2 linked regions of the Macaca fascicularis genome follow. The protein of the gene in region 2 interacts with the protein of the main gene of each other region in a pairwise test. Links are inferred from orthologs where the notes say so. Each region holds a gene or a part of one and is shown on either strand. Other genes may lie near its edges. The genes, in order: melanoma-associated antigen 1 and SH3GLB2.

Region 1 (3,157 bases), on a different chromosome or scaffold from region 2:
CAGATCAGGGATGGCCGTATGTTCTAGTCTCACTTGTACCACAGGCAGGAAGTTGGGGAGCCCGCAAGGAGATGGGGTCTTGGGGTAAAGGGGGGATGTCTACCCATCTCAGGGAATTGGGGGTTGAGGAAGCACAGGCTTTGGCAGGAATAAAGATGAGTGAGCCAGACAAGGCTATTGGAATCCTCACCCCAGAACCAAAGGGGTCAGCCCTGGACACTTCACCCAGGGTGTGGCATCTTCTTACTCCTGTTTCCAGATCTCAGAGAGGTGAGGACCTTGTTCTCAGAGGGTGACTCGGGTCAACATAGGGACCCCCATCTGGTCTAAAGACAGAGCAGTCCTACGATCTGCCATGCATTTGGGTGAGGAACATGAGGGAGGATTGAGGATACCCCAGGGCCAGAACACTGACAGAGACCGCACAGAAATCAGCTCTGCCCCTGCTGTCACCCCAGAGAGCATGGGCTGGGTCGTCTGCCAAGGTCCCTCTCTTATCTTGGGATCATTGATGTCAGGGAGGGGGAGGCCTTGATCTGAGAAGGCTTCACTCAGGTCAGTAGAGGGAGAGTCCCAGGCCCTGCCAGGAGTCAAGGTGAGGACCAAACAGGCGCCTCACCCAGGACACATTAATTCCAATGAATTTTGATATCTCTTGCTGTCCTTCCCCGAGGACCTAGGCCCGAGTGGCCAGATGTGGGTCCCCTCCTGTCTTTCTGTTCCTTATCATGGATGTGAGCTCTTTATTTGGATTTCTCAGACCAGCAAAAGGGTGGGATCCAGGTCCTGCCAGGAAAAATGCAAGGGCCCTGCGTGAGAACAGAGGGGATCATCCACCGCATGAGAGTGGGGATGTCACAGAGTCCAGCCCACCCTCCTAATAGCACTGAGGGCCCAGGGCTGTGCTTGCAGTCTGCACCCTGAGGGCCCGTGGATTCCTCTTCCAGGAGCTCCAAGAACCAGGCAGTGAGGCCTTGGTTTGAGACAGTGTCCTCAGATCACAGAGCAGAGGACGCACAGGCTGTGCCAGCAGTCAACGTTTGCCCTGAATGCACACCAAGGGCCCCGCCTGCCGCAGGACACATGGAACTCCACAGAGTCTGGCCTCACCTCCCTACCGTCAGTCCTGTAGAATCGACCTCTGCTGGCCGGCTGTACCCTGAGTGCCCTCTCACTTCCTCCTTCAGGTTTTCAGGGGACAGGCCAACCTGGAGGACAGGATTCCCTGGAGGCCACAGAGGAGCACCAAGGAGAAGATCTGTAAGTAGGCCTTTATTAGAGTCTCCAAGGTTCAGTTCTCAGCTGAGGCCTCTCACACACTCCCTCTCTCTCCAGGCCCGTGGGTCTTCATTGCCCAGCTCCTGTACACTCCTGCCTGCTGCCCTGACCAGAGTCATCATGTCTCTTGAGCAGAGGAGTCTGCACTACAAGCCTGAGGAAGCCCTTGAGGCCCAACAAGAGGCCCTGGGGCTGGTGTGTGTGCAGGCTGCCGCCTCCTCCTCCTCTCCTCTGGTCCTGGGCACCCTGGAGGAGGTGCCTACTGCTGGGTCAACAGATCCCCCCCAGACTCCTCAGGGAGCCTCCGCCTTTCCCACTACCATCAACTTCCCTCGCTGGAGGCAACCCAATGAGAGTTCCAGCAGCCATGAAGAAGAAGGGCCAAGCACCTCGCGTGTCCTGGAGTCCTTGTTCCGAGCAGTACTCACTAAGAAGGTGGCTGATTTGGTTCGTTTTCTGCTCCTCAAGTATCGAGCCAGGGAGCCGGTCACAAAGGCAGAAATGCTGGAGAGAGTCATCAAAAATTACAAGCACTGCTTTCCTGTGATCTTCGGCAAAGCCTCTGAGTCCTTGCAACTGGTCTTTGGCATTGACGTGAAGGAAGCAGACTCCACCGGCCACTCCTATGTCCTTGTCACCTGCCTGGGGCTCTCCTATGACGGCCTGCTGGGTGATAATCAGATCATGCCCAAGACAGGCTTCCTGATAATCATCCTGGTTATGATTGCAATGGAGGGCGGCCGTGCTCCTGAGGAGGAAATCTGGGAAGAGCTGAATGTGATGGAGGTGTATGATGGGAGGGAGCACAGTGCCTATGGGGAGCCCAGGAAGCTGCTCACCCAAGATTTGGTGCAGGAAAAGTACCTGGAGTACCGGCAGGTGCCCTACAGTGATCCTGCACGCTATGAGTTCCTGTGGGGTCCAAGGGCCCTCGCTGAAACCAGCTATGTGAAAGTCCTTGAGTATGTGATCAAGGTCAGTGCAAGAGTTCGCTTTTTCTTCCCATCCCTGCGTGAAGCAGCTTTGAGACAGGAGGGAGCAGCTTTGAGAGAGGATGAAGAGGGAGTCTGAACATGAGTTGCAGCCAAGGCCAGTGGGAGGGGGGCTGGGCTAGTGCACCTTCAAGGACCGTGTCCAGCAGCTTTCCCTGCCTCGTGTGATGTGAGGCCCATTCTTCACTCTGTTTGAAGAGAGCAGTCAGCATTCTCAGTAGTAGGTTTCTGTTCTATTGGATGACTTGGAGATTTATCTTTGTTCTCTTTTGGAATTGTTCAAGTGTTCCTTTTAAGGAATGGTTGAATGAACTTCAGCATCCAAGTTTATGAATGACAGTAGTCACACATAGTGCCGTGTATATAGTTGAGTAGTAAGAGTCTTGTGTTTCATTCAGATTGGGAAATCCATTCTATTTTGTGAATTGGGATAATAACAGCAGTGGAATAAGTATTTACTTAGAAATGTGAAAAATGAGCAGTAAAATAGATGAGATAAAGAACTAAAGAAATTAAGAGATAGTCAATTCTTTTTTTTTTTTTTTTTTTTTTTTTTTGAGACGGAGTCTCACTCTGTCGCCCAGGCTGGAGTGCAGTGGCGCGATCTCGGCTCACTGCAAGCTCCGCTTCCCGGGTTCACGCCATTCTCCTGCCTCAGCCTCCCGAGTAGCTGGGAGTACAGGCGCCCACAACCACGCCCGGCTAATTTTTTGTATTTTTAGTAGAGACGGGGTTTCACCGTGGTCTCGATCTCCTGACCTTGTGATCCGCCCGCCTCGGCCTCCCAAAGTGCTGGGATTACAGGCGTGAGCCACCGCGCCCGGCCGAGATAGTCAATTCTTGCCTTATACCTCAGTCTATTCTGTAACATTTTTAAAGATATATGC
Region 2 (3,808 bases):
GGACCTGGTGTTTGGCATGACCTCTCTCCCCTCTCCCTGGCTGGAGATGCCTGGCTGGGGGCTGCTGGGCTGAGCCTCTCTGTCCCTGCCCTCAAGGGAGCCTTGGTGGCCCCCGAGCTCTGGTTCCCGGGGAGACATTTACGGTGTGGGTGGATCAGCAGTGCCCCCAGCTGGGTGCAGGGTACCCCACAGTCACCCCGCCAGGCAGCTGGAGTCCCCTGCATGCCCTGCCCTCCTAGATGCTCGGCTCTGTCCCCGGCTCTGCCCAGGTATGGCACCTTCTTACTAACTCTACTACTTGCTGCTTGAACGTCAGGCCCAGGGTCCCTGTGCTCAGGCGCCCCCACGATGGTGTGGAGAACCTGGGAGCTGGACCGCCCACTTGCTCAGGGCTGTGTCTGAGGGGCCCTATCAAGCAGCCTCATGAGATTGGATAGGGCCTGGGCCGTCTGGCGCCCCCTTCACTCCCAGCCCACTGAGGCCTGTTCAGCCTGGCTGGGTCAATGGGACGTAGCCTGGGACAATGTGCCCAGGGCGAGGCCAGGATCAGAGGAGCTGGGCCCAAGGGTGAACACCCTCCTGGCACGAGAGGTTGCTCGGGGTGCAGGGCCTAAAGGCTGCCTCACACCTTGCAGAGGGAACTCCCAGGCCCAGGGCCTGCTGGGAGATGGCTACCTGTGGCTGCCGGGTGATTAGCCGAGGGAGGCCAGGCCCAGCCTGGGCTCACAGCTGTCCATACACCTTGTGTTCCCCTCCCATAGTGTGCCCCAGAACCTGCACTGCCCGTGGCGAAAACTGTGTGCAGGGTCTCAGGTCACTTAAGTGTGTGGGGTCTAGACCAGAGGCAGGGGTATAGCTGTTTTAATCTTGGGGTTGGCTAGGGTGACCTGTGCCTATTGGGATGACCTCTTTTAAGTCACCTGAACAGGACAGTCTCCCCCGTCACTCAGGGCCAGACAATGTCTCTGGAGTAACTCAGTCAGAACACACTCCATCAGCCAGGCCAGGGGAGCCTTTCCTTAGTCATTGCAGTGGTATGACCTCTCCTTCGCCTGGTGGGCCTGGACAACCTTGCATCCTGGGGTTGGGCCAGGCCACCCTTTCCAGAGCTAGGACTTGGGCAGCCCGGGGAACAGCATTCCAGAGGACTCAAGCCCCACAGCTCTGTGCCCATAAGCACACACACGTTAGGACTCTTCAGGAGAGCAGGCTGTGGTGCCTCCCTCCGCCTGACCGCCTGGTGTCCCCTCCCACTAGGGCCTGGGGGGCCTGCTCCTGCCTGCGCTGTGGACTCACTAACTCTTTGTTTTTGTTCCTTTCCGTCCTGCTTTGGGTAACTTGGCTCAGTGTGAGGGAGATGTGAGTATACCTGTCCCATGCGCTGTGCTGCTTCCGGTCTGCCCATCTTGCCCGTGGACCCACGGTGCCGTGGCCAGCCCACGTCCTTGGGGCATTTTGCAAGCAGCTGGTCTCCCCGCCAGAGCCTCTACTGTGCAGGGCCTCTGGTTTAGGGGGGATGCCAGGCGTTGGGGCCTGTGAGTCAGCTTTTTGCAAATGTTGGACGTCTGTCACTCTGTCTGCCCATGCATCCATCTGTCCACCCTTGTCGGGAAGGGCCTGGCCCTTGATGCAGGAGTGAGAGATGCGGTGTGCAGATTCTGGGATGGAAAAAGCCATCCCAGGTGGGGGTGGGCTGTGTTTGTGGGACCCTGGAGCATCTGAGCCACTGGTCTTGGGAGGAGGGGGCTGTGGCCCCTGGGAGGGGAGAGCCCAGCCTGTGACTTGCTCAGGCAGCCTCGGCTGTGTCCTCACCGCATTTGGTCTCCTGGGCTCCAGTGCCTACAGCCGCTTGATCTTTGTCTGGACTCTCCACGTCCCTAGGCCCCTCATCTCCAGGTGGTTGGAGTCGGGAGAAGAGGGTTTGTGTTGTGTTTGTATCCCCCTGTCCTTGGGGTCAGGCCTCCTGGCATCTCCTTGTGCAAGACTCTGGGGTAGCCTCCTGACCTCGACCCTGGCCCTGGCCCAGGGTGACCCCCTCCCCACATGAACTCTGTTCCCCACCAGACGGTGCCTGACTTTCAGGAGACTAGACCTCGTAATTACATTCTCTCAGCCAGCGCCTCCGCGGTAAGCGCACCCCACCCCCACCCGACCCCTCGTCCTCTCTCCCCAAGTCCCATGCCACTGCCTCTGACTGCACAGGAGCTAGAGGCCAGCGGGTAAGGTGGGGGCACTGCCATGTGATCAGGTCAGTCCTGAGACACTGGGGAGGGGCAGCAGCCCCCACCTCTGTCCACAGCCTGGCCCCTGTGCCCTGTGGCCATGGAGCTGGACTTGCTTCCCCTCTGCAAAACGCTGGAGCTGGCGGCAGGGCCAGCTGTACCGAGTAGCGTGGAGAACTCAGGGCGGCAGCTGTCCCATCCTCAGGGCCCCTCCACCTCCTGCTGTCTCTGAATGCCAGGCCCTGGGGAGGCCCTGAGGATAGAGGAGGAGGCCTGGCCGTGCCTTTCTGGAGTTCACAGACCCCTAAAGACAGGAGGCAGTGGACTGCCGTGTAGGCCTGGAGAGCGCCTGGGGGGCGGGAGGGCCTGAGGCTGTGCTAAGGCCCAGAGGTTCTGGAGCAGGGCATGTCTTGTCCTGAGGAGGCTCAGGCAGGGCCCCTGGGGGAGTCGGGGCAGGAGGTGGGGAGGACAGGATCGTGGAGGCTTCGCATGTCATGGTTTTTAAGCTTTCTTGGGATGTCTGGTATTTCCTGTGTAGTTTGGGGACTCGGCCACACCTCTCCCTCATGCTTGTCACCACTGCTGCACCTTGTCTGCCCACTTTCTCTCCTTCCCGCCCCCAGGGGTGAGACCCTCACCTCTGTCGTGAGCATGCTGCCTTGTGTCTTTCGTGCCGTCGTTCTGTGGCTGGGTGACTCCCTCAGGCCACCAACCCTAGTTGGCTCTCACAGCAACTTCCAGTGCTCCTGGACGGGGACTTCCTAAGCAGCATGGGGGCCACATGGGTGGGCCACGCACACTGGCCTGGGTCCGCGTTCCCTATTTCGGGCTGTTGTCTCGGGTCAGATCTCCGGAAGCAGCAGGAGCGCTGGGTCTCCGGTCGTGGCCGGGCACGGTCTTTCTTCTTCAGGATCCACTTCCCGCCTCCTCCCTGTGCCCAGTGGAAGGAGAAACATCCTAGAGGGTGGAGACTGCCCTGTTTTTCTTTTGCCATTGAGTCCCAGTGTGACTCAGGCACGAGGCTGCCTTTCTCTGCCAGAGGACAGAAAAGTTCAGTGACTGGCCCAGGGTCACACGGTCCTGTCTCCCAGCCCACCAGCCTGAGCCAACAGTCAGGACGGGGTGGGGCACTCGGTCTCTCTTCAGACCCCACTCAGAGTCTGGGGCTGACACTGTAGGAGAAATAGAAGCAGGACTCCCGCTGGCTGCTCCCTTCCTGCATGAGGCATGTTAGAGGGACTGGGACTGCCAGCCCCCAGCTCCCAGGCCTGCCTCGGCCCAGTCTCAGCTCCTGTTTGGGCGGGTGGGGCAGAGGGGCAGGGGGCAGAAGTTGAGTCTGGGAGCTGGGGCAGGGCACAGGCTCTAGGGTCCAGCTGTCCTCCTCTCCCCTCTCCTGCTGGCCACTCCTGCTGCCGTCTCCACAGCTCTGGAATGATGAGGTGGACAAGGTAAGTTGGGGCCTGGGGGGCTGGGCTTGGGGAAGAAGGGGTGGCAGGGTACAGGCACACCTGCTGCTGTGGGGTCTGGTCTGTTTCTCACTCTGCCCTACACCCACTGGGGAGGGGTTACTGCTTTCCCTCCCTGGG

The links.
Region 1: the proteins of SH3GLB2 (region 2) and melanoma-associated antigen 1 interact in binary tests that used the Homo sapiens proteins (3 or more experiments, as listed by UniProt). The two-hybrid records come from large-scale screens. The link is inferred for Macaca fascicularis from reciprocal best matches to the Homo sapiens genes SH3GLB2 and MAGEA1.

The regions. Positions count from the first base shown.
Region 1 is NC_088395.1:159,218,343-159,221,499, forward strand, and holds melanoma-associated antigen 1, read left to right. Parts: upstream 1-1,366; 5' UTR 1,367-1,398; coding exon 1,399-2,349; downstream 2,350-3,157.
Region 2 is NC_088389.1:14,931,837-14,935,644, forward strand, and holds part of SH3GLB2 (endophilin-B2), read left to right. Parts: intron 1-1,347; coding exon of another isoform or gene 1,348-1,359; intron 1,360-2,064; coding exon 2,065-2,127; intron 2,128-3,574; coding exon 3,575-3,670; intron 3,671-3,808.